Caenorhabditis elegans: one gene and its partners. The protein of the gene in region 1 interacts with the protein of each later gene in a pairwise test. Each region holds a gene or a part of one and is shown on either strand. Other genes may lie near its edges.

Region 1 (11,543 bases):
TGTCTGAACCGTCTTATTCTGGGGCGCCGCCGGTCTCTAATCTTCTTCTCCACGACCATAGAAACCCGCTTTGCAACATAATTACGCGTGCCCCCATACAACCTCAACATCCTCCGTTCTTCTTCTCCTAACAATTCCTCTTTTTATTTCTACAGTAATATATGCAAAATGTATGTTTGGTTGGTTTGTTTCGCCTTTTTCGAATTTTTAATCGTTTCAAATCGACAGGAGGTGCACAAAAGACATGGCGCCCCGTGTCCCACACCGCCTTGGAAAAATGAACGTGCCGATTACTGTGAGAGGAAAAATAGTGTACGAGACGAAGATACGCCGACACATTTCTTTGTCTTGTCGCGGAAAAGATTGGATTGCACACACCCGAATTGTTAATGATTTTTTTGACATAACATATATGAGGTTGGCGTGCCCTCTTGTAGTCAGTCAGTTAATTTTGTCGTCGAACATGCCCTTTTGATTCGCAATTCTATTAGGTTCCTCTGTTCTTGAGCATCAGATTATAGGGTTAGTGAAGAAAAGGAAGAAGGGCAGGAAGTGCCAGATGATGAAGGGAACAATTGAAGAAATGATAAAACAGGAAGGATATGGAATATCATTCAAGTGGATATCTAATTGAAAATATGAAAATCTATAGAACTTGTTTTGTTTTGAGTTGGAGAACAATAGCCGATGCCAAAGGTTTTTCAATCTCCGATGCCGTAAAGGTGAAGAACTTACTCCTTTTCAAAATGACCAAATAGCATGATAAAACTTTTTCAAATGTTTTGATTTTTCAAATCTTACCATCCTAATTTTTGATTTCAACTAACTTTTTCGTGAACATTGCAAGGCTTACAACTCTGTATGGTCAAATCTCTAATGGTCAGTTTACAGAAACTTTGGCTGAAAATTTGAGAACTCAAGAATGGTGAGGCTTAGGCTTAGGCTGAGGCTTAAGGTTAGGCGTAGACTTAGGCCTTTCAATAAATCTTTGAATTTCATCAAATCAACATTTCACCGTATCACAAAAATTCGAAATCATTATGACTAATTGAAGTTTTTTATTTCTACATTCCTTGGTTTATTGGAAAACTAGATAAAAAGGTATTTGATGACAAATTGAAACATGACATCTTTTTTCTATCTCAAAAGAAAATGAGTTAGGGAAGCTTCTTGTCAAAATAATTGTCTCCAAATGTCAAATTTAAAATTCATTTTGATTGCTGTCACAGAACAATTAATAGTGTCATACTGTTTCTCAATTTTTCAAAAAATCTAATCGAATATGCCACGTCATTGTAGGTGGAGAGGCTCAAGCGCCGTTTATTTGCGAACCAAACCATCTGTTGATCCCTAATCCAGTTACCCTTTAGCTCTCTGACCATTACCCAACTTTTCTTGAGCAAAAGCACTTTGTCGGGAGAAAATGGAATGGAACTAAAAAAGCATACATTGATGATGAAGAAGAAGAAGCAATTCGATCCTGTCATCATGTTCGTTACCGTAAAACACAACTTTACGCAAAACGAAAAGCAAAAAGCAAACGGGCGGTCGAATAAAGGCGAAGAGAAAAAAAAAACGAAATGTCAATATTGTGATGATTTATGAGAGGAAAAGGAGGAGCAACTAAGAAATAGAAAAACCCGAAGAAAATGGATGATTACTCGTCTCGTCTTGCTCCTGTACATACCGTTGTCTTTAATTCTCTACCGTCTCTCTATAGAGACCAGAGAGGAAGCTTCTCCTTGTTCCGCAATCCTACTCCTCAAATTCTTATATTTGTTCTTTTTTACTAACCGACGACACCCCGCGACATACGTTTTTTTGCTCGTGCCTCGTGTATGTCATACATGGATTGGGACTCGATCAAGTTATTCAACTTGTACCATCCTTCTTTCACACAGTAACCTAGACACCTTTCTACAGTAACCCTAGATAACTCATAAATTTAAAAGTACTCCATTTATAACTGGAATATCTAGATTTTGTGCATCTGATTCTGGAAGGCATAATCAAAAATTAATCTCATACAAGTTCTAGAATTCAAAGATGTTAAAAAAATTAAAAGTATTTCATCTCTTTTTAATTGAAGTAATTTTTTCAAAATAAAAACATTTCGAAATTGGAATCTGATGAAATTTAACACAAAAATGCCTACCTACTTGCCTGCCCAGCAATCGCAACTTACCGTGAAACTTCTAGGAAGTTCTAAAAAATAAGTTTGTTGCTAATTTTTAATAGACCGTATTTGTTTTTCTTGCTCATATCACGATTCTTTGGTTTTATACAAATTGTTGGGGGTGAAATATTAATATGACTTAAAGAAGTACGATGTTTGCAGAAGGTAAATTTGTTTGGCCCCAAAGATTCCTTTCTATTTGTCTAACTTCACGGAAACCTAGTTTTATCATCAACTTCCCAATTTGAGTAGATTACTTGTATTCTCTCTATTCTAACATTTTCTTTTTCATTGCTCCTCTTCCATCACAATCTAGCTAAATCATAAAATTGCAACACAAACAGCCGCCCCATGGTTGAGGCCCGGGGAGGCTTCTCCTCATCATCATCGAGAGCCCCACACAGTAGTAATTCATTTATCTCTGCCTCTCTGCACCCTCTCACTTCTCGTTCTCACTATCTCAAATGGGCAATTTAAAAGTGGGCGGGGCTTTTGGGTCTCGGAACTGCCGGGGGCCCAAACTACTTGCATCTCTATCAGTTCTGAAACGGAGTGAAAAAGAAAAAGAACAAAATGGGCGGAGTCATGTATGAGGGAGAAGACGTGTCGGTCTCCCGTGGCGGTCGCCTTCTCTCTCTCTTTTGCAACAACTCATATTTTACCAGATCATATCTCGTCCCTCACACAGGCGCCCGGAGCGTCAGGTACAAGAATGAGTACCTGGCGCGAATCGAATCGAATATGTCTCCCCTCACCACCACCACCACGGGGGTGACAATTATCATCAAATTCGTCTCGAATCATCGACGACGTCTTCTGATGAAGAGAGAAAAAAAAAGACTTTTTCTGGGGTTGACTGTGTTCATTAATTCAATTAGTGTTTTATCAATCATTCAACAAATCATGCAAGTAATTCAGTTATTCATTCATTGATTTGCCATTTTTAGAAATTTCTGCTTTTTTAGTCAAGTTCTGAGGTTGAGACTTTCTTGAGAACTTTCAATAATGTAGTTCCATTTTCACATAAAACAATTTCAACCTGCCATGTTATTTTTAATATCTCAGCTAACACCTTTCAGAGCTCACTTACAGAAGCTTAACATCTGCAAGACGGAGCAACCATTTTTTCTGTAGTCTGGCGTCGAGCATGATTTTTAAAAATGATTTGTACTAGAAACTAATTGTGACGCCACAATTTGCGAGAAAGGGACACTGTCACTTTATAGCGATATATGTATCTATAACAAATTTCTGGGTTAGCTTTGCACTAAGGCTTGTATCTGAAAACGTCCGATCCTCATTTCCTATCTAAATTTAGAAATCAAACTTTACAACTCAACCTAAAATAATTCTAGTCTACAAGATCTGATGACTCATAATCCGAAAAGCCTGTAGAACACACACAAACAGAACTCAGACCCCACCAAATTTAACGGAATCTTCAACCGCATCTCGCACTTTATATTCATACCGATCCGATCTTTTTTCCATCCTTTTTTTCCAACTATTTCAATTGCAACACCGTATCCACCTCATGGAAAAGGGGAACCGCTCACTCACTCATTTTATACGATTTTCATCTTCTACACCCTCACTTACTCACATCATCACTCACTACCTTCCCCTGATCATTTTTTGAGATATTCTTTCTTTACCCAACCATGAACAACAAAATTTCATATTTACACTCGAAAAAAATCATCCGATTCAAGATTCTTCTGCGGCTATACTCGTCATTTGGCGCGAACTGATTGCCTATGGTTGATCCAAAAATTACTCTTTCAAAAACTGACAAAGCTCGGGGCAAACTTGAGAAAGTCCTGGTTTATGATGTACCCAAATTAAACTCACGTTTTATCTAGCTGTTGTGAAACTTGTATTGTATCGTTTTAAACTTGGCTGAGACGCTGAAAAGAGTTAGATCAATTTTGGGCTGAATCTGGGTGCGGCCTAAACCCAGTCATATAACCAAGTATTTCGTAACTTTTGCAAAGACAAATGGCGAGCCGGTGCATAATTCAAAAATGTTCATTCCAAAAATGCATTATGGGCAAATTTAGACTATAGGCTCGCCGCTCGATAACTAGCTCATTCGAGCAATATCATTTATGATTAATGACTCTATTTTAAAGTTCAATTTTTTATCGTCAATTGAATTCCATTCCCATTCCCTTACTGCCATCTCGTGTCTTCAATACTTTTACCATTTTACTCTAATAATATAAATTTTGATAATAGCCTTGTTTTCGCAATATGTGCCCCCTTGTCCCGTCGCCTTCTCATCTTTCTAATATAAATCGTTTTTGTTCTGTCTCTTTTCTCTGTGTGTGTTGTTTTGTATCCTTTTCTCTGCTTTTTTCCCTCTTCTTGTCCACTATTACTCTTTCATTCTTTGCCTATCATGCTCATCTTCTAGTAATTTCAACTTTTCAGAGCTCCAGATGAATGAGCTGCTCGCCGAGATGGCCGCGGTTTCATCCCGCAGAAAACAGTCAAAACCACGTCGAATGTCTGGTGGTAAGTTGAGGGAAATGAGAGGAAAATGCGGGGTGTTTAATGAAGTAAAAGACAAGAAAATGAAACAAGGCGATGATGATCGACCTTGAAATCTTGAAATTTTCTGCGAAAATAACAAAGTTGAATATTAAAACTTAAAACGCACTTTTGGAATGTTTCAAAATCATTTTAGTTCTACATTTTTGAAGGTTTTTAGACTTTCTAGAAAAACCAGTTATCACTAGTTTTTATGGGTTTTTGGGACATAAGTAATGAAAATTGGAAGGAGACAATAAATTGGTGTAAATTTACAATTTTAATGTCAATTCCTCTTATCAACTTATCAATATTATTCATATTACTTCGAATAGTTTCGGACGAGACATTTGCTAGAAAACCAGTATTAAAAAAAAATTAATATTACCAAAACCATCCTAGTTTGGCATTTTCATTTAAATATAATTTATCATATATTTCTCGTTCATTCATTTTTTTAAGTTTTAATGAGAAATCTGTCACATCTGTTCCACTTCAAGGAACACTTTTTCATTAAAATGTTTCCAACACAGAACCTTGTCAAATATGATAACATATCTCTTATCTCTATCTCTTTCGTATCTTCTTACCTCATTTTTAGTGTTTTTTCAATGCTTTTCCTTCGATTCTTTCAATCATAACCAATCAAAACCTACCGTAGTCCAAAGAGCTCCTCCCGAAGACCAGAGACACTTATTATATTTCCATTCATCTTTTCATATTGCTCCGCCCCTCCGTCACATTTCCATCCAATCATAAGCGACTATGAGGAGAAAGTGAGAGAGAAAAAAGAGCAAGAAAGCAGAGAAACGAGAGAGAGAGAGAGAAAATGTCCAAATATGGGAGTGCAAGGGGAAGGGAGAAAGAGTTTCGGAGAAAAAGAAAACCAATCAATTTGGCAAGTTCTGAGACAGACAGACATGAGAGAGAAAGGATGAGAGCATGTTGAAAAGGGGATGACAATTTGACAATTTGAACTTGGTGTCCAGCTCAAAGAGCAAGACTGAAATTTGTTTTGAAAGTTTTTAGTAGATAATGTTAACCAAAACGAGTTTCACAAATATTTCACCTGTGACAATAAAAGTTTAATTTTCCATTCAGTACTGTCAAACATTTCAACAGCTGTTGACAATTCGATGAATGTGAAGACCCAGTCTCTTAGAGCATGACTTTGTATGCAGAATATTTCTTGGTACTTTCTGCCTGTGTATGTGCATACAAATTTTACAGTCGTATATTTTCTATAAACATGTTGAAATTTAAGATTAACCTTTTTTTATTTAAAGATATATAGGCTTACTATTAGGCCGAGGTTGCCTTGCAGGCACGTATGCTCAAAAAAATTTTATATTCATCTTTGAGAAAAGAAGTGTATCATTTGTATCATAATTTCCGGTATCAGTTGTCTCTAAACCACCACCATCAGCTCTCGGCTTCATCTTCACAAATCATTTTTTGTGACGAACAAGTGCTCTTGTGTGTGAGACTTGAGACTTATTGTCATCTCATCTCTCTGCTGATTCTTCCATTGGCTGAGCCCATTATTATTTTTTTCTATTGAAAGCCTTATTGATTCTCTCTTTTTTGTGCTTCAAGTGGCAACATTATTGTGTTCGAGGTCCGCGAGCCGCCGCCTTCGACACGAGTCGAGTCGAGCCATCATAAAATCGAATTTATGATCGAACACAAAAGAAGTTTAGAGTGGCAGGATGAAGACGTTGTTGTTGCGAATCAGAATTCTTCTTCTGTGGGTCTTCTCCCCTCGAAACTCGATCATTTATTATAGTGTTTTTGTGTAATACGAGAGAAATAGTGTGCAATATCAGAGCTTCCTCCTTCAACAAGCAATATGAATTGGTTGGACGATGGAGACGAAAATTGAAACATTATGTGTGTGTGTCACAATGTGTGTGTGAGAGTGTGTATTTGAGGACCAGCAGAGTATCATCATCTCATATATTTTATGGATTTTTGATGGTAGCAGAGGTAGATGAGTTGAAAAAAAAGATATTTGGGGAGGAGGAGCGTTTGGATAACACTCATTAACATTGGAGGACTCTTTATGAGCGCGTGAGAAGAGAATGAATGAGACTATTATTGAATGGATGATATCAAACCAACTGACTCGCACACAGATAAGATGATAAAAATGAAGAGTTTTTGAGTTTTTGCTCATGAGTTGCAGTTACCAGAGTACTTTATTTTAAGGGGCTCAATTACGATATTTGCACAATCAAACAGTTCAAAACTGAAAATAGATAGCGTCATGTAATTCTCGCCTCGAACGAAAGTTTGGGTAGTTCCTTTGAATCCAGTACTATCTGATAATTGAAAGATTTCAGCTGCAAAAGGCAACTCGTCACCAAATTCTCAGCCAAATTTCGCCAACTTCGGCCACTTCCGTAAATGGCACCTAGAAAAACGCTAAAGTTGGTTAAGAAATATCGTTGATTTTCCGAGCAGTTTGACGAGATTTTTTGTTTTAACTTTCAGCTGAAATTTTTTTGAGAGCAGATTTTTCGAGTCTATTTACTACTACTTTGGAGGACCGTAATTTTGCTCTTAAATTGAATTCGGAAAAAATTATAATTGTAAAGGTCTCTAGGGGTATGCAAACATTTTGGAATATTTTTGGAAATTTTAATTTAAAAAAATTAAAGCCTAAAAATATCCAATTTTGAGCAGTCTTCCAGTTCTCAAAGAAATGAATCATTCACTTTAAAAATTTTCAAATTGAAATTTACTTTATACAGTTAATGTACAGCGACATTTTGTGTGGTTACCCAAAATTATATTAAAACAATTGAAGATATCTAGAAAGTTCAAAATTTGTTGCTTCCAGTGTTTTTTGAAGAAACAGGATTTACTTTGGATCTTTTGATCTAAATACTTGAAGTTGTCGTTTTGCTTCGATGTTTTAATTTGTTCGTTTGAAAACTTCAAATTATGTCTCTAATTGTACAATCATAGTCCCCTTTCTCAATCGGCCGTTATCATATTTACAGTATCCTCCATCTTTCCTCTGTAGACACATCGTGTCCCAATCGACTCGAATTAGTTGTAATATGCGGAAAAGTTAATCAAATCATGCCCTTTTTGTCAATAATCAATCGTTGACATCGTCTTAATTTTTCCGTTAAACCCACCTCCTTCTTCGTTTTTTGCTGCCTTTTTCGTAATGTTTATTAGAGCGTACTTAACCTTTTCACCCCCTCATTTTCATTCCTTTTCTCTAATTTTGGCTAATTCTCGCAATTATTTTTCAATTTTTTTGTTCAATTTGAAACTCTTAATGTTTTGTTGCGACCCGAAGACGTCGTTGTTGGGAGAAGGGGATGAAGTTTTATGTGTTTCCGACGCCTTCTTCTTCTTTTGATCATTTACCGTTTTTACAATTTTTTATGACATTTGGAAGGAAGGTTGTTGCTTTTTGGAGAAGTTTTATTTTACTATTAAATTGGTATATAGATGACTTTCTATTTAGGGACGATACTCTCTGTTTTATTGATAACTGAAGAATGTGGAACAGGAGGAGTAAGATTTATTTTTTGCCTAGAAGTTAGGGGGACTGTGAGGTGCAAAAAACTGAAATTGACCAACGTTCAATTCTGAAAATTCGGAAGTTGGAAATAATAGGGCTCAACATTTCAGCCGTTTGCTCATATGTCCAAATGGCAATAGACAGCTGAGCAGAAATATACTCGAAATGAAAAAAAACTAAAATAATTCAGAATTTTCAAAATTTTGCAAGATTAATAAAAAGAAACCTGAAATATAAAGTTTGTTCGAAGGCAAACTTTGTTTCAAAAATTAGGATAGGTGAACACGGAGCGACTCAAACTTTCGACTACAAGTATACATTTCAAAAACATTCTTGAAACGTCTCCCTTGAACACAATGATACCTAGATTTAGCCTGTAAAAATCTTTTACACTCCATTCTATTTTAGTTGGTAAAACTTTATGAACTTATCATGTTGCTCTTCCCAATATCTCCACATATTCATTTTTCTTCCAAACCAATCAATCATAATATATCCCCTCTCATAAGTCTCCACCCATCATCCAATCGGATGCCTCCTCCTCTCTCTCCGTTCATCTGTTCCATTAAGTCTCCGTTTCGAATACGGTAATATACCCTTCCGGATCATCAAATCGATTTCTATTTTCAACAACAAAAAAGCGTTTCGGAAATTATAAATGTTGCGAAAAAAGATTTCAATGAGAGGGGTGAGACAGGTTCCGAACCCATAAAGCCTCCTCCTCTTCCGTCCCTCCACGGGGTCTCCGCACACATTAATGGTTAAGAATCTCTTTCAATTCACACGCTATTTCATCCATACAGCTTCCTTCGATCTGACGCGACGACGATGACTTTTTGTGTGACAAAAAGTTAACGAGCAACCGATGTCAAACTGTGTATGTATGTGTTTGCGTCGGTTTGTTGCGATTTTTACGACCCCTTCTGTTTCTTGTGAAGAGAGATGAATCGGATCGCCGACGGCGGAGAAGACGTGCATAATTTTTGCGTTTTTTCCGCGCCATTGACACCGATTTGGTACACATTAAATTAAAGATAAATGAAGAGAGAGTGGGCGGAGCTTAGAGAGAGTTGGGTCCATTAAATCTTTAACTTGCAACAACAGAAATTACAAAAAAGTTAAAAAATAACAATACATATTTACAGAAGGTGATGCGATGATGTCTCCAATTGATTTATCGACAAAGAGTTTTGATGAAAATAACTGTGAGAAGGGAGCTGGTGGAGCACTTCCATTGGAGGATCGATCTAATATTTTACCTCATTTTTCTGTGCCATTTGCAAATCCACAGCAGGTAGGCAGTTAAGAGAGATGTTTTTGTAACTGAAAAGGCTAGCTTGTTAGGTGCAAAACTTTGTTTAAAAGAGGTTTAAAATCTGTTCAAACTATTCTCTAAGCATTTCATTTCAATTTTTATTCCGAGAACCCAAATATTGGGACCACAAAAACCACAAGTGTATTACGGTTACCAAAAATAAAAACTGTGACAGTTCTAGACATTTGTAAAAAAAAACCCCATTTACACAGATAATTTAGCGGCAGATTAACATTTTGAACTGGAAAAACCGATCTGAAAATTTTCAGTGAACTTTTACACTTCTTTCGAAAACACTCAGAGTTTTGTAGGTTTTTAATGAATTGAAAGATGTAAAGGAAGGAGAGCATTTTGAAAGGGCTTAGAAAGTTTATGTTTAGGACCTAATCATTAGACGGAATTTATGAAAATCTCTCAATAGAGGAAAATGACCCAAACATCAACCATTCATATCATATTTTCATCATCTTCATCATTTTCTTTCATCTTCTATTTTTGGTAATTTCACATTAACCGGCCTTGCCAAAAATTTCATTAATTACCAATTTCGGCAAAATATAGCGAGTACATAATCGAATTTTCCCACACCCAAGCCGATCATTAAATTAAATATTTATTAGGAAATAGGGATTCAAACATCTTTTGTAATCACTGGAGAATCAACTACAGTATGTATAATTTCAAAAATCAGTTGCTGAAGTTAAAATAATGAGAATATTATAATTTCAGTTTCTATCATTATGTGCTCAACTGGGAAATTCATCAAGTCGAAATGTATCATCAACAGCATCAACAACATCATCATGTCCAATACAGTCATGCTCTCAGGTTGGTATTCTATGTATATAATAACACCTCTTTTCCTTAAAGGGGGGGGGGGGGGGTAACAACGACCTCTTCGCCTACCGTATCCTTTTGTGCCAGCCATAACTTTAATGGTATTATTTGGTCGTGTTTCATTCACTTTGTCTGACAAAGAAAAGGCCCCCCTTCCTTCAAAAAACGAGATGTTGCGACGTTGACGACGATCACAACGACGACAAAAACCAATAAAAATGAAATTACTGTATGTATTCAATGTCGCGCAATTTTTGGTATGAAAAGAGGCTATGGGGGGAAAAAAGAAGAGGTGAATGTTGCCAAATCAAAAAACATGAAAAGTTGATATTTTTTAGTGAATAGGGAGGGATTCTCAAAATCTTTCTGTTTTCAGAGTTTTTCATCTCCGGCAGCACTGACGTGGCATGTATTGGATGCTCATGAAGATGAGCAGGAGATATTTTCGTGTGATGTTTGTACAACAACGTTTTCAAACGGACAGGATGTAAGCTTTTACTTATAAGGAAAACAAGTCAGTTCAACCCAAAAACTTGAGAACAAGACATAAAAAAATTAACACAAAAATGTTTCCTAAAATTTAAATCGGAAAATTTTTCAGTTTAATGAATTTTTGTTATTCGTCATATTTTTGTAATAACCTAATTTAAAAAAAAACTTACAAATAAATAGTTTTTTTTAATCTTCAGCTGAACTAACTTCCCCTGCTTGTGAGGTTTTCCCTAATTTCTCAAAAACATCTGCTAAATTAAAAATATAAAATTTTAGATTAGGGAGCACAAATGCCAAAAAACATTAGCATCCCGTAGTACATCAGTACCTCCATCGACAATTCCATCTTCTGTATGCTTCTTATCAACACCTACAACTCCATGTCTTCAATTTTCAATAAATGAATCAATTGGAACATCGGAGATTCGAGAAGAGGACGAAGAAGAAGACATGGATGTTGAAGATGGTGAACATGTTGCAAATCAGTTATTTGGACACCTACTACAAAAATCAGATGATAAATCGAAAATGGCGTCACTGTTCAATCATGCGTTTCCACCGTTTGCAGCGTTTCCTAATATGCCACCACCTTGTGAGTAGACAACGAAAAATGAAAAAATTCTGAATCTGCCAATAAAGCTTGCAATTTT
Region 2 (11,543 bases), on another chromosome or scaffold:
CAACAAATGTTCTCAATTTCTTTTTTCACCCACACTTCTTCTAATGGATCCCATGAGAATAAGTGAATTGTCTGACTTTCTGAACCTTTATCTCCTTCTTTTTCTCTTATTTCTTCCCACCCCATCCCAATGCATTTCAGATAATCTCCGCACATCTTTATGATGATGTTTCATCCTTCCTTTTCTTTTCATTTTCTTCAACTATTCTCGATTGTTTAGATTCTTCGCGACACCCATCTGTTCTCTTGAAATATTGAGACAGTTTATGGAAATTGGAGACGCAGACAGTGCTTCAAAGCTTCATTCTCCTTGTGGTCCTGCTCGTCCCATTTTAGGCAAAACACACGCGATTGTCGTCCCTTCTTCTGTCGTTTCCTTCCTCCGTTTCTGAAGCAAACTTTTCGTTTCGAATTCCCTTTTTCTTCTTCTTCTTTCTGTTTTCTATTCCACCAATTGAATCTGTTTCTGAATTCGATTTACCTAATTTTCTCTCGAAGCTTCTGTTTGCTTGGTATTTCAAAATTATATCATCACTTGAAATCCAAAAGTCCCTTGTAACATTTCAACTGAGTTTGTTATAGTTGAAAAATGCACAATTCTCCCAGAAAATGACTTAAGCTTACTGGCTGAATGTTAAAAAAATGATCACTGTGTTGTGCAGTTTGAAACCAAATAAAGTTCTAATATTTTGAAGGCCCGAGAGGACTGAATCATTTTTTAGTTTCTTTCTTGATTGATATAGGCCATTTTCGGTAGTTTCCTGATTCTATAAATTAACTAATTATTTGAATTTAGTGTGGTGAGGCTGTGGAAAGTTAATTGAACCAAAAGAAACAGAAATCTCGATTGATTTTGGCTAATTTTATATGTTGTTGGGATATTTTCTACTGTTGCATAGGTTACTTTTTTGTAAAATTATTCAAAGTTTTCTTTAAAATCAAGTTTTAAAAACATTAAGTTTATAAACTTCTAAATAGTACTGTCAAAACGAAGATCCTTGTTAAGTATATTCACAAGTTTCGGTAAATTCGAATGACCTTATTGCTAACCCAACCACATCCTAAAACATGTTCTTCGATTTATTTTCATTCACCATTCTTTGCATACGACAGAACATGTGTTAAGCTTTAAGACGGTTTTAGGTTGTACAAAACCATAAAAAACGCAGAAAATCACTAACCATGTCAGCTTTTGGTACGAAAACCAACGCTGTGTGAAATGTTGAAACTTGTTCTTGAAAAACTTCTCTAACTCTTAATTATACTTTTTCCCTTGTAGAAAACCTTCGATTAGTTTCTCATTTAGATACATGGCTCTAACTTCAACACTATCCACATTCCATATCTGACGCCATTTATTTTTTCTAAAGAGTGACTGTATAAGCCCTTTTGAGTACCTTTTTTGCCCGTAAAATCTGGCCGCCGTTCCCTTTTGATCGGATTCCTCTTTGCAATACCTACCAATACAATACAGACACACATAGTGTTGAGAGATCTAGACGGAGAAATGGAAGAAAACCGAAACCGCAAAATAAACACTGCGTGTTGTTCTGTTTTGCTGTACTCGTCTCCTTTTTGGAAGAAAAGTTGATGGGAATAGGTTCCAATTTTTGATTGGACAAGTATGATTCGATGTAACCCGTGCTCCATTGGCTCCACAAAGTCAACAAAAAGTCTATACTGAAGCCAATTTTGTACTTTTCACATATCTACAATGTCAAACATTTTAAAACGTTGTCTGTAACCATTTTTTCAGCTTCGGAGTATTATCTTGTGGTACTTTCGGACAGCTCTTACGAGATCTACATTTTTTTACGAGGTGACTTCGATTCTTCTTTTGTTTTTTTTTCCAAAAAATTTGTAGTCTTCTATTTTTGTTTCGTTTTTTTTCTAACTTCTTCTACTTCTTCTACTTCTTTGATTACACTTTTCTCACGAAATTTCAATTTCTTCTTTTTTCCGTGTGGTGGCTCCTTTCTTTCCTATTCGCTAACTGCTTCTTCATGAATAGCTAACTTTTTTCTTCTCTTCATTTTACTTCTTTTTCTTTTTTTTCCATTCCTTCTTTGGGACAGGGTTATTTGAAATTAGTGGTCGTATAACTAACCTTTTGATGAAAAACCAAGGACGTTTTGCACTTTTTTCATGTAAAAAAAGCGTAGAAGGACAAGCCTTTTGTTCACTTTTCATGTTTTCTAATCGAGATAACTTGGAACTTTTAGGGCAGTGTATTGCTTACTGATGTTCTATATCTAGTTTTTCGATTTTGGAAAATTGGAAATCATCGTTTATGGTTTTGTCCTCGACTTCCAGAAAACTGAATAATCGCCACTTTTTGACGGTTCTCAAGGTTACTATATAAAAGTTAAGCATCCAGGTGTCAATTAAAATGGAGTTCAGATTGCTAGCAAAAAACCAATGTCATGAGCTTTCAAAACGGAGCCGATAAAACGACAATTTTGTATAGGCTGCAGGTTTTTATTCATCTTGCAAAATGTGATATGCTCTAGATGTTTTTGTTACATACCTAACTAGAATAAGCTTTACTGTAGCTGTTTTAGAAATGAAGGTTCCGAAAACAAATAATGAATAGCATGAAATTATTCTGCTCGAGTCTCTAGCCGAGATCTAAAATTATCAAATTATTATGATCCGATGCCCCATTCGTTTTAAAGCTCTGAGGAACATCTTGCAACTTCAATTGCCCTTCAAAATTTCTCTCCAATCAATCTCTGTGTTTATGTGTTATTGTTGTTACTCTCTGGTCATAGAAGAATCTTTGTCTGTGAGCACATGTGTCATCTCTTCTCTCTCTCTCTCTCTTTTCCTGTTTTCTATCTTTCCCAAAGTTCAATCCTCATCTTCGTCGTGTTTTTTCTCTGAATCATCTGACTTTTTTCCCAGTTTTTTTCATGAATTCCCTGATATTTCAGAATCATTTCGCAATGCTTCTTCTCAACATCTTGTCTTCTTTATAATCCATTCGGGATTATAAAGGAACCTTATTCTTCCAGTCTTTCCCGCCTCCCTTTTTTACTTTCATTCCCCTTCGTTACATCACCAAAACCCGTTCTTCCTGTCTTCAATCTATCTGTATTACGTTATCAATGAAAAAAACATACATCTCCGTTTCTTTTTCATCTACAGACATCTTCTCTTTTCTATCATTGACATACATTAATACTTTACTTTAATTTCAGAATTAAAACTATCAAAGCAATACAAATTATGCAAAAATGGTTGATACAATTTCTGTTCTGAACCCAATTCATCTCGATTTGTCAGTCGATCCCCAGGATAATGTGAGGTAAGATGTTTATATTAATTAATTTACTGACAATTTGTAAATGATTCTTATTATACACTTTTATGTAATTTCTTTTAATGAAATATAATTCATTATATAGTATTTTATGACCACAGTAGTCCACATGTAACTGTGCTTCTTCTTCTCCGGTTTCATAGGTTCCTTAAAGAGTAATTTTCGTGAATCTGCGGAACGAAGTGCCGAACTTTTCATTGTTAATGCCTTGCCTTTCTTTGTGGAACACTACCATTTTCACTTTTACCCATGTTTGATATCTCTAGACTCTGGCAACTGAATTGCCTACAAAAACAATACAAATCTAACTCAACAATGCTGTCATCCCTAAACATTATTCGAGTAACTCTTTCAAACTTAAATTTTCAGAATCTCCGCCAGAAGCACAACATCATCATCTGCCTCGACATCATCCGACTCTGAGCTAATGAGTCCTAGGGCTGAGGAGCTTTTGAGAATGCAGGCTGAGCTCAGAGCAACACGAACGGCGCTTGCTGAAAAAGATAAAAAGATGACACAAATTCAAGTGACAGTGGATGCAGAAGTTCAAGAACTTACTGAAAAATTATTTCAGGTAAGACCAGTACAACTCCGATCCTGAGAAATTAGCTTATAAAAATTCTCGATTTTGATTTTCAAAATTTCATAAGATAATTTAAATTTTTAGAAAGTTGACCAAGTAAAAAAGATAAGAATGATATTGAAAACCGATGAAAAAGTCTCAAAACTCCCATCACATCTTCAAGTTTACAGGAGGCGTACAAAATGGTAAACACAGCAGAAGCTCGTCGTGAGAAAGCAGAAAAACTACTAACCGAATCAAGACTTGAAGTTGAAGTTCTTCAAGCAGAAGTACGTGCATTGAAAGAATTGATATCTGCTCCAGGAATGGGTCAAAACCATTTCAAGCAGACAACATCTCCAGAACATAAATCAACTTTATCAAAACTATTCAATGGATCAAGTTCATCATCAAAAAAACAAAAAGACGCTGCAAATGTATCAGATAAAAAGAAAGCTTCATCACTTCCATCTACATCAACATATACACTAACACCATCAGAAGATAGAGAACAAAAAGAAGCAAATGCAGTTGAAGAGATCGATCCAATTCTTTTTTCTGAATTTGAATTTTGGAGAGAAGCTGGACATCCGACGACATCTCATCCATTTATTGATAGAGTTACCGTTGAAGAAGTTGAACCATGTATGCTATTCGAAAACTCTGAGTTATCAGAAGAAATAATGAAGGCAATTCGAGAGAATCGTGTTCAACTTGAACCATTAAATGAACTGAAACCATCTGTAAGGATTTGTGCATTAACAAATGCTTCAAGGTTTTGTCCGTATCGAGTAAGAACTGGTGATGAGGAACAAGAATGGCATTATGTTTCGTTAATTGCCAGGAATAGGGTGAGTTATTCCACTTTTCTTGGTCTCGGAACGATTGATAATTTTAATTGAGACTGCCAAAAAGGTGCGCGCCTTTAAAGAGTACGGTAGTTTTCACTTCTCACAGTTTTGCCATTCTATTCGTTATTTTCTTTCGAAACCCTTTACTTAGAAAACGTAATAGAAACTACCTTACTCGTTAAAGGCACACTTTTTTTCGCAACCTGAATTTCAAAACTTTCAGTCGTGCCGAGACCTGGTACCGTAATCTTGATTTCTCAATTAACTCAAGATTTACAGATTGCCGCAGTCTGTGACTTCTTCACGTGTATCCGATACTTGTCCCAAGGTTTGATCAAACCCGGGCCTCGAGATTCATATTTTCACGTTGTAAACTTGCGGAAAAACATGTCACTTGCCAAACTGGGGCTAGGATTTGTCCCGCGTTCCAACATACGCCATCATTGAATTAATAGTATTTTACCATAATTTGAAACTACAGGTCTTTCACACTTTTTATACAAATAAATAATTCAATTACAAATTTTTTGGTGGTATAAATTATTCGTTTTTACATTTTACAAAAAAACAACTATAAAACGGATCATCTCAAGAACATTGGGATAAGGCAATAGAACAACCAATCATTAAGCGGATAGAAATTAAATAAAACGAGATTTTTGAAGACAAAAAAGGAAGGAAAGAAAGAACAGAACAGGATAGAAGAAAAGGAAGAAAAATCACAGAATTATAGAGAGAAAGACACACCTCGTGTTTGCAGCTAAACAAAATATGGAGAATTAAAATGTATTACGAGTGCCCAGAAATCATCTACAATTCTAGAAAATTAAGATTTTAGACAATTTGTTCTGGGCTCATTTTGGATGATAAATCTTCGAATTCACGTGAATTTGATCACTTTTTCTGTTGCAATTGATTCGCCAGCCAATCCATCGCTGGGTCGAGCCCTTCTCCTTTTGAAGCAGATGTCTTGAAAATTTGAATGGTACGATTACGAAGAGCATCCAATCCCAATGCTTTGTACACTTCAGTTTCAGTCAAACATCCAGCAATATCTTGTTTATTGGCTAAAACTGCTAAAACAGCTCCTTGAAGTTCATCCTCTTGTAGCATTGTTGCAAGTTCTTGACGAGAGATTCCAACCTAAAACAGTTGATATTAAAATCCTTACTACAAAAAATAAAATAAAATTTCAAACTTACTCGATCTCTATCAGCAGAATCCACAACATAAATGATTGCATCAGTATTCGCATAATAGCATCTCCAATAAGGCCGTATCGATGTTTGTCCTCCAAGATCCCAGACTTGGAATTTCAAATTTTTGTACTCGACTTGTTCCACGTTAAAACCAATTGTTGGAATCGTGGTCACAACTTCACCGACCTGAAACTTAGCTTATATGGTTTTGTTTTCAGCCAGAAATAAAAACCTGCAGCCTATACAAAATTGTCGTTTTACCGGCTCCATCAAGTCCCAAGATGAGAATACGCATTTCGCGGGCGCCAAAGAGGCCACGAAAATATGACATTACTCCTCCCATTGCTTCTGATCTGAACACAGATATTTAAATTGAAATCGGAAATATTTTGAAACGTTTTGAAAAATAGGAATACAAGTAAACGTGGATTTACGAGCAAAAAACGTAGAAGGCTAGAAAATAAATTCTTAATTTTTTCTTATAAATAGTCTTAAATATTAGCGAAATAAATTAAAATAACACCAAAATCCTCTCATTTTACACTGGAAAGCACCATTCCGTACTTTTCAAAGACAAAAGAGACGGAAGAGATTGGTGCAAAAGGAGCCAGGAAGGATGGACCTAGCAAGGGTCGAAGAACTCTCTCAAAAATGCTCACTGACTATGTTTTTGGAGAGAAGCGAGCACTAAATATGTCAGTCTGTGAAATGAAGAAAGAAGGTTAGGATTTGAAAGTGTGGGAGAATGAGGAAGTAGGTGAGTTGCGAAAAATTTTAATAATAAAGATAATATAAAGGTAAAATTAACCTTTAAAGGAAAAAAAAAACTTAATCAAAATGCAAAAAAAACACTTCATTTTCCTCATAATAATAAAAAAAATAACAGTAACAAAACACAAAAATAACAATTAGAATGAACTAATAAAACAAAACAATTAGGAAAAAAACAACCGGATGATTATTGTCCATAAACGAGTCCCTTCTTGAGACGACTTGGGTTCAATCCATAAGCTTTCACGCGAGAATCCGTCATTCCTTGTCCGAACTTTTCAGCGATTACGTTGTTCTGAAAAATTTCGAGTTTTGAATAGTTTTTTAATTTTTTTAAAACTTTTTTCATGTTTTTTTTTCAATTTTACAAAAGTTTCAAATTATTGAATTTCCCACCTTATTCTTATTCCTCTTTCTTGTCTTCTTCTTTTCTTCTTTTGGAGCTTCGTGAGCAGCTTCGGGTTCTTCAGGTTGCGGCACAGGTAATTGCTCTTGCTTGTCAACTTCTTCGACTTCATTTTCAATGGCTTCCGTCATATTTTCTTCGGGATTTTCAGTCTGAAAGTCAGATGAATATTTTAGAACTAGTTACTCAAAGTTTAATACAAACCTCAGTAAGTTTAACCTTCTTCTTTCCTCTCTTCTTCTTCTTTTTCTTCTTTTCAGCATCTTCTTCGGTGTTATCATTTTGATCATTCATCTCGGCCATCTCCTTCTCCATTTGTTCGTCTTCCATTTTTCTTTTCAGTGATTTTTTCCCTCCAAAATCGATTGAAAGAATTCGTTTCTTTTTGTTAACATCTTCAGCCTTTCTTTGATACGCTTTCCGGTCGAAAAACTCTTCCTGTGATGTACGATAAGCGGTAACTTTTTTCAATGATGCCCACGCGTTCAGTTGACGTTCATCAGCTTCCAGAATTTCATCAGTGCTCAATCCAAAGTCGTTTGACTCGACATCTCGATACTTGAATCTTGTTGGTGTATCACCAATAATATCTTCATAATCCAAAGCATAGTATTCATTGAAATATTCCTCAAACGTCTTTTCCTTCGGATTGAACAGAGGTTTCTTCCTTGCAAGAGCATCTTTCAAAGCGTTCCTTTTCGATTTCCGACGACTATCTGGAAAGGAAGAACAGATGATAAGACAAAAAATATCTTGAAATTACAATATTACCATTTTTATCCTTTGACATTGCTTTTTGTGCGGCAGCCACCATATCGAACTTTCCATTTTTCATTGCAGATTTTTTCGATTTTGGCACTTCTTGCTCATCTTCATCATCAACACTTTCCTCATCTTCTTCGTCGTCATCGTCAGCTTCTTGTTCTTCTCTTTTCAACTCGTCTACATCTAAATTGTCATAATCCTCATAATCACTGTCTTCCATCTGGAAATGAGAGAGTTGGATACGGTAGGAGACAAAAAACAGTTAACTTACATCACTGAAAATCGGCTTTTCGTCCTCATTCTCTTGAATATTCTCCTCAACTCCATAGTACTCATCATTGAAAATTGACTGCATCTTTTTATCAAATTCCTTAGGATCAAAGTCAGCGTTCAGCTCATCAAGAGTTAATGGGATATGGATTCCAGCAGCTTTCTGTAGTTTTCCAAGTTTCTGCTCAATTTCAGATCGTTTCATTTTTTTCAGCTCTGCCAATTCTTTTTTCTTCTCTGCCTTTTCACGCTTTTTACGTTCTTCCCGTTCGTGTCGTTTGTCTTTACGAGAAGAATCTTCGGATCTCATTGATTCAGCAACTGTACGAGGATATTGTTTGATCTTAATTTTAATCTTTTACGGTGTAAAGAGAATCGTCATTATTTTTCTCATAGAAATTAAAAATCTTTTTTCGGAAATATTGACAACAATACTTACAAATTCCTGATCTGGATCCTCGAATCTAAAGTTGAATTTATGCTCATATTTTCTATTGCTGTCAAGGTCTTTTTCATCCTCTTCGAGAGCTACGATATCCTCATATGTTGGATTTCTAGAAAATTTAAAAATTAATTTTTACGTATTCAGGAAACAACTAACTCTTCATTCTCTCCGGGCTCGTAGTCTTTATTCAGCAAATAGTCTCTGAGAAATTTATCGGATTCATCCATATTCTTATCATCTTTCCAAAATTTTTTCAGATGTTTCAACTCTTTTGCCTTCTTTTTATCAGCTTTTCCATCTTCCGACTTCATCCATTGATAAAAATCTTCATCCTCGTCTTCTTGCTCTTTACTTGTTTTCTTTCGTTCTGTCAGAAGATCATCGTCGGCACCATCGTCAGCGTTAATTGCGGCGGAGAGGCTGAAATATTATCCGCTTTAAATTATTTGATTTATGAAAATTACCTTTTTCTGATTTCCTCTTGCTCCTCATAGTATCCCCTCTGCTGAGTCTTGTTGTACTCGGCTTCTTCATCACTTTCGTCGATTTGTCTGCAAAATTGTCCATATTCAGGTTTCAAAAAGGTTTCGTTCAGCATTTACAGCGCGTTCAATGAACTCACTGAAATAGTTTTACTAACTAATGAAGCCAAAACTACCAGGGGAAAAATGAAAAGAAGAGCTTCCACTATGAGAAAGGAGATGTTATCGGATTCCATCTCCCGATGGACACATGCAAATGGACTGGACAGCAGGGGGCACCATACTTAAATAGTATGTATTTCGATGAGAGCGCATGGAAAAAGATGCCCCCTGCTTGTCTTTGTTGCGTGGATTATTCAATGGGAAATTTGTATGTACAAGCTTAGGTCAACAAAATGTGCTCATATATCAGATATTATCTCAATTTACTGATTGAAACGTGGAAGCAGTTTTTAGAAACTATTCTCGTTTTAGAGAAATATTTGTGAACCTCGACTCACAATAAATCTAGTCTTCCAGTAGCATTGAATTAACAAGTAGATAATTTGAACTTTCGTAGAAATTATACAGTTTTAAACCAAAAAATGTTGCGAAAATTTTTTGTTTCAGTTTTTTTGCAAGTTATTAAATATTAATTGACTAACCCTCCCTTTTCCAGAACCAATTTTCGTTCATAATCCTTGATTGTCATTTTTTCGTCTTTCTTCTTTGATTTCTCTGATTTAGATTTTTTGGGGTTATTATTTGGTTTCGATGGAGCATCCTGAACGTCTTTGAAAAAGCCTTTTCCGTTTTCAAAACATGAACTATCTCCGGACTTGAGAGCTCCAAGTGTTTTAAGGAAAGCTTCTTCATGGCCTTCGGTCCATTCCGGTTCTGATTCACTTGACGAATCGTCATCATCAATATCTCCATATTTGTCCTTAACTGAAAACAAAATTGTCAATAAACGAAGCAGAGTAGATAAATTACTTTTCTGCATTTCCTCCAATCGCCTCCAATTGTCGTATTTTTGAGCATAACCCTGAGAAAAATATAATTTTATGTATTTAAAACACAACAATAAATATGTACCTTATTAATCTCCCAACCAGCTCCATTTTGCTGCTCTTCTGCGTCATCTTCTCCAAAAAGAGAAACCTTCTTCTTCTTGTTCATTTTGTTTCTTAAATAATAAAGCTTGTTTGATGAATATTTAAAAATTCAAATTTTCATCAGGAAAATAAAACATTAAGCTTACTAATATAATAAAAAGAACAAATTCTCAAAATTGGCAAAAAATCGAAGAAAAAGAGATGTGACAACACGAGTTCAACCGAGCGCGTTTGCATTAATTTTCGTGGAAAAAAAAACGCAAGTTTTGAAGAACTTCGATCAAATAAAAATGAATTATCTCCTTCTTATAAGATATATTTATGACCAATGACAGTCAACTGATTTATAAATACTGATTTTATAATAAAAAGTATAGAAACACGATTCAAGCTACAATTGTCTTTATTACGACACCATAGCAACCTTTAAAAATTACTTCCATTATGTTACAAAAGTTATATAAGCACAAAATGTACAAAAGTACGCGATGGGGTCAACTACATATGCAACAAGAAGCGAAGCGTCGGTTATTATCACTAGATGGCGTTTCTAGTAGAGGCACAATCTAGCGACTTACAAAAGAGGCGAGTAGGTATCAATTAAAAAACAATTAATAGTACAATGGGCGAGTATGGGGGTGCGATAAAATATGTTCAAAATCTGGGGTATTGTGGCAGTAAGGGGTACATACACAAAATTACATTATTCGTCGAAGACGGAATTCTTCTGGAAGTTCAGTTTGTTCATGAAATGGGCACTGATGTCCATGAGTGGAGTTGGCATAGCCCAGTATGGCATTGGCTCATTCGTCATCGTCATTGGCACATTGAGCTTCTGGAGCGACTCGATTATTTTCTTTCCAGAGGAAAAACGCTCAAGGCGGCCGGAATGACGGTTGACACGATTCTTGATCCGATCGAACCATTTGGCATAGAGGCGCATTTCCGATGCCACCATCTTACGTTCCCTAAAATAGTTTTGTTGAACTGATTTGGATTGGTTGCACTTACTCTTTTCCGAGAAGTGCAGAAATGCAGATGGAAATCATCTGTTGGACGACATAGTTCCCGTATTGATGGAACAACAAGATGTCCAGAGCATCACGGTTCGTCTCCTGATCCTTCACATATCCATCGAAGATTTCGTCCATCATCTCTGAGAGCAAGAGAGGTGGAGCAAAGAGAAAAGCTCCTTCCACAACATGGGAAGCATACTTGTCTTGCGACATCGATAGAATGTTACGGAGAAGACATTTTTCGATGATTGTATCACGGTACATTTCCATGACTCCAGAGGACTTGATGACGTATTGAACGACGTAGTTAGCGAACTCGTTCGATGAAAGTCGGAAGCAGTTGCGTGCCACTGATGTCATG
Region 3 (10,806 bases), on another chromosome or scaffold:
TTTTTATGATTTTATTCAAGATTTCTAACCACAATTGGAAATATTTTCAAATTAGGCGAATGTGTTTTTATATTTTGACATTCATTTCAACAAAAAATAATAGAGTAATAAGTGATATCGCAATAGGTAATATTGTAGGATTGCGGAATAATTCCTGCTCCCAATGAGTAATTTTCTCATGTAACATAATTTTAGGAGTAGCTCGATTTCTGACAAATCCAAATTAATATTTCATTGAAAAAAGACGTCACGCGACTTTTATTGAATACAAGGTCTATCTGAAATAAAAGTTTCCCCTGAACAACCCACAACCATCCATCCGTGACGTGGCAATAACTTTTCGTTAGAAGGTCCATGCCCAAAACAGCGAGAGATCAAATATCTATGAAGATGCGCAGACCTTTCGTTGAAGCTGTCTATGACTGGCTTCAGAATAAAAAAGAGAAAATGAAGATGCACTTGAAGTTGGTAGAGTTGCAAGATGTGGCCAATAAAAAATTGGGATATTCTTGCTACTTTATAGACATTCTCATTTGATTATTTTTGTTTGGTGGAACCGTGGATACGGAGAGGGGACATTCGCAAGAAAAGTTTGAAAAGAAGAAAAGATGACAAAAATATTCAATAATTAGTCTCATCAGACAAACATAGTAAGTGAGAATAAAAAATAACAAGAAAATAAGAAGTACCAAACATAAAGTGTAATGTGAATTCCTGAACAGCTCTCCGATAAACTGAAAATAGGCAAATAATTGGGCGGCACCTTTCTGGATTTTGTATTCGCAAAGTTCCGAATCTTTAACTGAATTTGATCTCTATAAAACATACAAACCTCAATTAGATTGAATTAAAATATTGGAAACGAGAACGAGAACTGAAAAGAGAGAAATACTTTATAGAATTTGTATAATACAAAAGAATTGGCAAAATTGGCTCAAAATGCAAACAAACAACTGTAAAATCCTTTCTTCGAAGCAACTTTTTTTGAGGTGTACATAAGCTCCGTAAATCGACAATGGCCCTGTGAGAGATTCCCTACCATTTCATGGTCGTACATTAAAGTCTAAACAAGTAAAAATGTGAACCTCGGAAATCCGAAACTTCCTCCTCGTCTTGTGGGCGTGTATCTTGTTGAGCCTTCTTCTCCCTCTTCTGTCAATCTCGTTCGTTTTGTTTTCTCGTTACATTGATAGCAATAAAAAAGTTCCTTATTGGACGAGGATTTCCGTTTTCGTTTCCGTTCCTCATTTTTAATTCTTTAGTATATGAATTCTAATTATGAGAATGCGAGAAAATAAATGAAGAAGAAAACATTTGATTGCATCCAAAAAGTGCATCCAAAAATAGGCTTTCAAGAAATTGAGAATTTTCACTTATTCTGACAAGATTTTTCATTTTGGCTTCTTTTGGAATTTGGATTTTTGGAGAATTTTAATTGGATAAAAAATTACTTGTATTTCTGAGAAAAGCAGACCAAAATGTTACTTTTATAAAATTTTATGCGAGTTCTATAATACCATTGAAAAAATTTCCTTCGGCTTATGAAGATTCAGATGGGCTTGGCGATTTTGGAGGTCCAGATTCACTTGGTGCTTCAGGGAATGCCTCGGATTGTTCATCACCGCCTGGTTGTCCTGGTGCTCCGTCTTGCCATGGGTCTTCAGTGAGCAGTACCAGCTTTTCCCTGTGCTCCTGGAGCTCCAAAGTACCCTGCTGCATGGCTTACATGGTGGTGGAGTTATTGGTTCACATGGTTGTTTTACAAATTCTACATTTTAACGTGTCGTCTTAATTCATATTTTGAATACAGACCACACACAGTCTGAATATTCCAATTCGTCAGGGAGGCTTTGAGGAGCTACGTGGTTTGAAGCAGTGCTTCTGGATTAGAGTTTGAAGATAATTTTTCAGTATTAAAAAAATATTTTTGAGCATTTGGATGGTAATTGTTTCATTATTAAGTACTGCTTGATTTACAACCGTCGTTTTAGATGGAAATGAAAATTAATTTTAATGTAAGTTTTTGGCATCAATTCAATGCTACGAAATTATTTCAGTGTGCTTCCAAAGATCTTGTGAAGAGCGAGGATCCCATATGCAGCAAGAGATCTCTAAACCTCACAGAGTATCCTCCATTGAATTAAAATGCACAATAGTTGTTATCTGGAATAATCAGACTGTTTGCTACTCTCAATAAACAATTTCGCATTGCCTTTCCAATTTACTTTAGATAATTAGATATTTTCTTTCAATGATCGAATATCTCCATAAACAATGGTACCGTTTGGAAAACTGTTGTTACAGCAATCCACACGACACAATTATTGTGTGTTTATTGAAGAAGGCCACCTCTTCTTGTTTTACAACCACCAGAGAACTTGGTACATTGCAGGAAGTGGAGGTATTGGACATCTTCCAAATAGGTCATCCACGTCAGTTGATGGGCGGAGCAAAGGCATGCACAGATAGAGCCTAGCATATTCATTCATCTAGTCAATTAATCTCTTTACTGTTTCATTGTTTTTCCTTTTTATGTTTTTATTCAGTTTTTCCTTTTTTGAAGAAAATCAGCCTATCATCTTGTGACCGGCTAGAGCGACGCTGTACAGAACTGGCCTAGTTTTCTTCTGAAATTTCACTCTTATTTGTCCAGTGCAAAACCTCCCAGTTCTCCAAAATATGTAACTTAACGATTGAATGTTAAAATAATGATGAAAGCACTTATTTTACAGAAAATACAAAATTATATATATATATTTTTTTCTTAGCAAAACGCTCTAAAACTGTTTCTGATTTTGAAAACTTCAATTATTTCAGGTTAACCAAATCATCATGTTTACGATGTCCAAGAACATCAAAGGATTTGCTAATATGATTCGTACTGAAGATCCTATGGAAGTTTTCAAAGCTGTTGAAGGGCTCTTAGAGATGGAAATTCCATTCAAGTATTTCGAAAGATACAATTTGAAGGACCTGATTCTGTCCAAAGTTCTAAAGAGCATTGGCGGCTTGCTTATCAGAAGGCTCCAAGTTACACTAGAGGAGAAGGATTTTGAGGACAAGTTTCAAAAAGAGGATCCAGAATCTGTAAGTTAAAAATTATATTTTAAAATTTCTCTGTAGCTAATAGTTAAATTGGGAGAAGTCATATTTTGAGTTTTTATTTCTTTCAGCTTGAGGACGGTGAAATGGAAGAAATCCAGATGTTAATGATGACACCAACAAAAAACGATTTCATGAGAGCTCAACAACAACTGGATGAATGCGGATACAAGGATCTTCCAGAAGATATTCAAGAATCTCACGAGTTCACCCGTGCACTAACGGTGATTGATGCCTACCGCTGCGGCCATGAGACTCCGGAGCCAACCACTGAGTTCTTCAAAATCGACACTTCTGATATTAAAGATACCACAATGGACAATTTGAATGAAATTAACTGCATGGCTAATAAGGAAAACAGAGCAAGAGTTAATAAGAGCAAACAAACATCTCAATCGATCAGAAGAATTGCTCCATTTTGAACTTTTCAGAATTCTATAGATCTGTTTTATTTTTATTTTGCTTCTCAAGTTTTGATAAATGGTTATTTAAAATTGTTCAATGTGTAATTGTTGGATTGAAATTGAGCATTGAAGTTAGATTGAAAAAATCATAAGAACAAGCTTGTTCAATTTTTTCGTAATCTTCCTTCTGAACAGGCCACTTACATATAGCATTCACAGCATTTACTAAAAAAAGAAGAAGAATATTCTATATAATATATCTAGATAGCGTATTTTTAAAAATTTGCGATTTTAATGCTTGTTGTTTTCCTGTTGTTGTACATATTTAGAATAGCATGTTTTTGCGCGCAATTGATCAACAGGAGAGCGTCTCCGTCTACATATCTCTCATGAAATAACCCTCGAGAGACGCAGCTGTTGTAAGATAGTATGTTTGTGTTTTGAGTGTGGAGGCTTAGATGGAACGTTGATTTTCTTTCTTTCTTTTTGTTTTTTGAAATTTTTCATTTGGAATATGAATTTTCGATTCCTGTCTGTAATTTTCAAATATTATTTTCAACTAACATTTAAAATTTAAATACCCTCAATTTTTCAAAAAAAAAACCGTTTTTAAGCATTTACTTTTGTTGAAAAAGTCTTCAAAGAAAGATCCCGCCGCTAAGAATAATTATCAAAACAATTTTTTTTGTATGCGCCTTTGACATTACTGTAAGAAATTCCTGCAAATTTGTTTTTCTCATTTTGCCAAATTTTCTAAACACAAAATTACAAACAAATACTGAAAAAATAGTTTCAACAAATTTCTTACCCGCGGTGTGATCCATCAGCATACAAGTCCTAGAATTTTGCAAATAAATAAATACACTGTAAAAAGTATCAGGTTGTCCCATAAGTTTTTGTACTATTTTTTTTTTGAAAAAAATTTATTTCTCTCAAGCGACAAGTAGTACTATTCACACAAGTATTCACCATTAGTGTCCACCACTTGTTGCCATTTACTAGGTAACATCATGATGCCACGGGAGAAGAAATCCGGCGAACGCGATGAGAAGAAAGTGGAGAGTTCAGTTTTGAGATGCTCTTCGTCGTCGAATTGCTTGTCGCGCATGTAGTCACTGAGAGACAAGAACAAATGGTAGTCGGTTGGTGCAAGATCTGGAGAATATGGTGGATGCGGTAAAACAGTCCAACCAAGATCTTGCAGCTTTTGGAAAGTCTTCTTGGCGACATGAGGCCTAGCATTATCGTGAAGAAAATATAGTTTTTCATATTTTCCGTTGGTCTTTTCTGCAACTCGGTCCAATTGGGCACAATAGTAATCAGCAGTGATAGTTTTATTAGTTGGCAACAATTCCCAGTGCACGGGTCCTTGAACACCCCACCAGACACAGATCATAATCTTTTTTGGGTGAAGATCAGGCTTTGGCGTCGGTATTCCTTTCTCACCGATCGGAAGCCATTGACGTTTTCTGGAATGGTTAACATAGAGCACCCACTTCTCATCTCCAGTAACCAGATTGTTCAGCCAATCGAACTTTCGACGAAAAGTTAGAAGTTGAGTACAAACGTTGACCCGAGTGAGCTTCTGTGATGCCGAAAGTTCATGAGGCACCCAAATTCCAAGTTTTGAAGTAAAACCAAGGCGACCCAAGTGACGTGCAATTGTGCTATGACAACACTCAAGCTTCTCTTCCATTTCACGAAGACTAAGACGAGGCTCTTCCTCCACCAGCTTCACTAGGTCTTCTTCATTTAACTCTACCGGTCGCCCAGAACGTTCTATTTCTTCGAGACTGAAGTCGCCGTTCTTGAACTTTTGAAACCAACTCTTTGCTGTATTATAAGAGAGTGCTCCCTCACCCATCGCACCGCATATGTTTCGTTCCGCTTCCATTGCTGAATGACCAAGACGAAATTCATAAAGAAGAAGCAATCTAACGTCTCGACGTTCAAGTTTGATGATTGTCATCGTGGCAAAGTAGAAATGGATGAAATGAATCTTTTCTGAAAGGGGACGACCCGACCTTGACACGACCTACGATGAAAAAATTTTAAAACTTTGTAGAAGTTTTGGAAAAATATTTGAAAAAAAGAACAAAAACTTATGGGACAACCTGATATTTACTCAATATCGTGCTTTCTTTTTTCATTGTTCCATTTTTTAAAAGCCTATATTTCTGAAATAAGTAATATCTAAACAAAGCCACAAAAAATAATTGAGTAGTGTAGGTTTTAAATATACAGTAGTAGCTGGAAAAATGCTATCGTAATCTAAAGTTAATTTTTTTTTTGGTGTTTTCAAAATTTTGTTCAATCAATTTTAATGATTCTTCAATTTGTTTCTTACTTGTTAGGATTTGATGGACCAATTCAATGAACAAAAAACAACAAGAAAAAACATATTACGGACATTTCACGTGAACTGAATCGTACGTGCAACGTTGTATAACTTGAGGTATGAGAAAAAGAGAGAATTGAGTTACAGAATTTATGGGCTTTGCGTGTGGTACAGGTCGTGACAATAGTGAGAAATTAGGGACAGTTGGGCGCCAGGCGCCCAACTTGAACGATACGAGGGCCACGAACGGTGAACATTGGGGAAATTTAATGTGCTGATGTCGTTGCGAAGGGCCCGATCGTTCGGTGTTGTTGACATGACGTTGACTGTGCAGGAGCTGCTGGTGTTGTTGATGGAGCCGACTGTGCTGAAGTACGTGCTGCAAAAACGAAAAAGGACGGACCGAAAGTACTTATTATTGGTTAAGGTGGAGAAAAAAGGTAAAATGGTAAACCCACGTGATTCGATAATCCTGGCAGCTCCCGTAGTTCTGATACTTGAAGCTCGTCTGCTGCCCAAAACGAGAATCGTCGCCTCTGAACCCTGCTCCTCGAAAATTCTTCTGCTCTCGCGTTCCACCCAAATACGAAGTATCTACGATTTTCCTAAATCCCTGACACGAGCCCTGGGCCGCATCTTACACTTCCTCTCCGTTGTGGCTCCTGAATACCTGAAAATGGTGAACCGGATCTGAAAACACTTTATTATAATTAGGATAGTTTGTAGTTTGGGGATTATGGCAGTTTCCCATTCAAAACGACCCCGAAAATGAACTACCTGTAGTCTGTTATGAAGTCACCAGCCGCTGACCGCGCCTACGGCGCGGCCAACGACTGGCAACATTTGAAATGTTTGACACAATCATTCAAAAATGGCTTATGAAAAAATAATGAAACTTTCACATCTTCCCAAATGTTCCCGACTCTAAGCAAGAAACTATCAAAATATCTTGACATTATCCTCACCAATTCCCAAGCCAATACATTTTCAAAAACTTAAAACGCAATTTTCCACCAAACTCCAATAATCCTACAATAATCCTACAGCACCCCAACAGTACCACTACAGTACCTTGACACTATTCCCTATCAACTCCCGAGCCAACACCTCTTCAAAATGTTTTAAACTCAAAATTTCCTAAACTACAGTAACCCTACCGTATACCTACAGTACTCCTACAGTACCACTACAGTACCTTGACATTATCCCTCACCAACTCCCAACCCAATACATCTTCTGTAGAGAAAAACTCAATTTTTCCTAAACTACAGTAACCCTACCGTATACCTACAGTACTCCTACAGTACTACTACAGTACCTTGACATTATCCCCCAGCAACTCTCTACCCAATACCTCTTCCAACTACAGAAAAGAGAGTTGAAAGATCAAAGATCAAACTACAAACTACAAACGGACGGAAGGACACGCGCTTTATATATAGTAAATTGATTGATCTCGCGACTCGTTTCCGATCCCCTGTTTTCTCCACTCCGTTAGTTGTCCTTTCCTTATCCAGGTCTCGTCCGAAACCCTACCGTATACCTACAGTACTCCTACAGTACCACTACAGTACCTTGACATTATCCCTCACCAACTCCCAACCCAATACATCTTCTGTAGAGAAAAACTCAATTTTTCCTAAACTACAGTAACCCTACCGTATACCTACAGTACTCCTACAGTACTACTACAGTACCTTGACATTATCCCCCAGCAACTCTCTACCCAATACCTCTTCCAACTACAGAAAAGAGAGTTGAAAGATCAAAGATCAAACTACAAACTACAAACGGACGGAAGGACACGCGCTTTATATATAGTAAATTGATTGATCTCGCGACTCGTTTCCGATCCCCTGTTTTCTCCACTCCGTTAGTTGTCCTTTCCTTATCCAGGTCTCGTCCGAAACCCTACCGTATACCTACAGTACTCCTACAGTACTACTACAGTACCTTGACATTATCCCCCAGCAACTCCCAACCCAATACCTCTTCTGTAGACAAAAACTCAATTTTCCTAAACTACAGTAACCCTACCGTATACCTACAGTACTCCTACAGTACTACTACAGTACCTTGACATTATCCCCCAGCAACTCTCTACCCAATACCTCTTCCAACTACAGAAAAGAGAGTTGAAAGATCAAAGATCAAACTACAAACTACAAACGGACGGAAGGACACGCGCTTTATATATAGTAAATTGATTGATCTCGCGACTCGTTTCCGATCCCCTGTTTTCTCCACTCCGTTAGTTGTCCTTTCCTTATCCAGGTCTCGTCCGAAACCCTACCGTATACCTACAGTACTCCTACAGTACTACTACAGTACCTTGACATTATCCCCCAGCAACTCCCAACCCAATACCTCTTCTGTAGACAAAAACTCAATGTTTCCTAAACTACAGAAACTCTACCGTATACCTACAGTACTCCTACAGTACCACTACAGTACTTTGACATTATCCCTCACCAACTCCCAACCCAATACCTCTTCTGTAGACAAAAACTCAATGTTTCCTAAACTACAGAAACTCTACCGTATACCTACAGTACTCCTACAGTACCACTACAGTACTTTGACATTATCCCTCACCAACTCCCAACCCAATACCTCTTCTGTAGACAAAAACTCAATGTTTCCTAAACTACAGAAACTCTACCGTATACCTACAGTACTACTACAGTACCTTGACATTATCCCCCAGCAACTCTCTACCCAATACCTCTTCTGTAGACAAAAACTCAAAATTTCCTAAACTACAGCAACCCTACCGTATACCTACAGTACTCCTACAGTACCACTACAGTACTTTGACATTATCCCTCACCAACTCCCAACCCAATACCTCTTCTGTAGACAAAAACTCAATGTTTCCTAAACTACAGAAACTCTACCGTATACCTACAGTACTCCTACAGTACCACTACAGTACTTTGACATTATCCCTCACCAACTCCCAACCCAATACCTCTTCTGTAGACAAAAACTCAATGTTTCCTAAACTACAGAAACTCTACCGTATACCTACAGTACTACTACAGTACCTTGACATTATCCCCCAGCAACTCTCTACCCAATACCTCTTCTGTAGACAAAAACTCAATTTTTCGTAAACTACAGTAACCCTACCGTATACCTACAATACTACTACAGTACCTTGACATTATCCCCCAGCAACTCCCAACCCAATACCTCTTCTGTAGACAAAAACTCAATGTTTCCTAAACTACAGAAACTCTACCGTATACCTACAGTACTACTACAGTACCTTGACATTATCCCCCAGCAACTCTCTACCCAATACCTCTTCTGTAAACAAAAACTCAATGTTTCCTAAACTACAGAAACTCTACCGTATACCTACAGTACTACTACAGTACCTTGACATTATCCCCCAGCAACTCCCAACCCAATACCTCTTCTGTAGACAAAAACTCAATTTTCCTAAACTACAGTAACCCTACCGTATACCTACAGTACTCCTACAGTACTACTACAGTACCTTGACATTATCCCCCAGCAACTCCCAACCCAATACCTCTTCTGTATACAAAAACTCAATTTTTCCTAAACTACAGCAACCCTACCGTATACCTACAGTACTCCTACAGTACCACTACAGTACCTTGACATTATCCCTCACCAACTCCCAACCCAATACATCTTCTGTAGAGAAAAACTCAATTTTTCCTAAACTACAGTAACCCTACCGTATACCTACAGTACTCCTACAGTACCACTACAGTACTTTGACATTATCCCTCACCAACTCCCAACCCAATACCTCTTCTGTAGACAAAAACTCAATGTTTCCTAAACTACAGAAACTCTACCGTATACCTACAGTACTACTACAGTACCTTGACATTATCCCCCAGCAACTCTCTACCCAATACCTCTTCTGTAGACAAAAACTCAATTTTTCGTAAACTACAGTAACCCTACCGTATACCTACAATACTACTACAGTACTACTACAGTACCTTGGCATTATCCCCCAGCAACTCTCTACCCAATACCTCTTCTGTAGACAAAAACTCAATTTTCCTAAACTACAGTAACCCTACCGTATACCTACAATACTACTACAGTACTACTACAGTACCTTGACATTATCCCCCAGCAACTCTCTACCCAATACCTCTTCTGTAGACAAAAACTCAATTTTCCTAAACTACAGTAACCCTACCGTATACCTACAGTACTCCTACAGTACTACTACAGTACCTTGACATTATCCCCCAGCAACTCCCAACCCAATACCTCTTCTGTAGACAAAAACTCAATTTTCCTAAACTACAGTAACCCTACCGTATACCTACAGTACTCCTACAGTACTACTACAGTACCTTGACATTATCCCCCAGCAACTCCCAACCCAATACCTCTTCTGTATACAAAAACTCAATTTTTCCTAAACTACAGCAACCCTACCGTATACCTACAGTACTCCTACAGTACCACTACAGTACCTTGACATTATCCCTCACCAACTCCCAACCCAATACATCTTCTGTAGAGAAAAACTCAATTTTTCCTAAACTACAGTAACCCTACCGTATACCTACAGTACTCCTACAGTACCACTACAGTACTTTGACATTATCCCTCACCAACTCCCAACCCAATACCTCTTCTGTAGACAAAAACTCAATTTTCCTAAACTACAGTAACCCTACCGTATACCTACAGTACTCCTACAGTACCACTACAGTACCTTGACATTATCCCTCACCAACTCCCAACCCAATACATCTTCTGTAGAGAAAAACTCAATTTTTCCTAAACTACAGTAACCCTACCGTATACCTACAGTACTCCTACAGTACCACTACAGTACTTTGACATTATCCCTCACCAACTCCCAACCCAATACCTCTTCTGTAGACAAAAACTCAATGTTTCCTAAACTACAGAAACTCTACCGTATACCTACAGTACTACTACAGTACCTTGACA

Evidence for each region.
Region 2: the proteins of sem-4 (region 1) and rabi-1 interact in a two-hybrid assay, tested with the Caenorhabditis elegans proteins (one large-scale study listed by BioGRID).
Region 3: the proteins of sem-4 (region 1) and F27B3.6 interact in a two-hybrid assay, tested with the Caenorhabditis elegans proteins (one large-scale study listed by BioGRID).

Annotation. Positions count from the first base shown.
Region 1 is NC_003279.8:7,034,291-7,045,833, forward strand, and holds the start of sem-4 (Spalt-like protein sem-4), read left to right. Parts: upstream 1-4,609; 5' UTR 4,610-4,617; coding exon 4,618-4,693; intron 4,694-6,350; exon of another isoform or gene 6,351-6,421; intron 6,422-9,394; coding exon 9,395-9,543; intron 9,544-10,293; coding exon 10,294-10,392; intron 10,393-10,777; coding exon 10,778-10,888; intron 10,889-11,169; coding exon 11,170-11,485; intron 11,486-11,543. UniProt on the Caenorhabditis elegans protein: Transcription factor, involved in positive and negative modulation of transcription. Binds to multiple DNA sequence motifs in the regulatory elements of target genes, including homeobox selector egl-5 and LIM homeobox mec-3.
Region 2 is NC_003280.10:8,576,743-8,588,285, reverse strand, and holds rabi-1 (GDP/GTP exchange factor Sec2 N-terminal domain-containing protein), read left to right. Parts: upstream 1-3,199; 5' UTR 3,200-3,235; coding exon 3,236-3,306; intron 3,307-3,690; coding exon 3,691-3,895; intron 3,896-4,074; coding exon 4,075-4,734; intron 4,735-5,013; coding exon 5,014-5,181; 3' UTR 5,182-5,252; downstream 5,253-11,543. Other genes in the region: arl-1 (ADP-ribosylation factor-like protein 1), read right to left, coding at 5,629-5,877, 5,937-6,119, 6,166-6,276; F54C9.9 (Protein KRI1 homolog), read right to left, coding at 6,892-6,999, 7,101-7,262, 7,315-7,826, 7,882-8,095, 8,147-8,488, 8,585-8,699, 8,747-9,010, 9,055-9,141 and 3 more; puf-5 (Pumilio domain-containing protein 5), read right to left, coding at 10,870-11,134, 11,178-11,543.
Region 3 is NC_003281.10:6,570,611-6,581,416, reverse strand, and holds F27B3.6 (uncharacterized protein), read left to right. Parts: upstream 1-2,811; 5' UTR 2,812-2,832; coding exon 2,833-3,087; intron 3,088-3,173; coding exon 3,174-3,524; 3' UTR 3,525-3,599; downstream 3,600-10,806. Other genes in the region: F27B3.8 (Zinc finger protein 263), read right to left, coding at 1,540-1,719.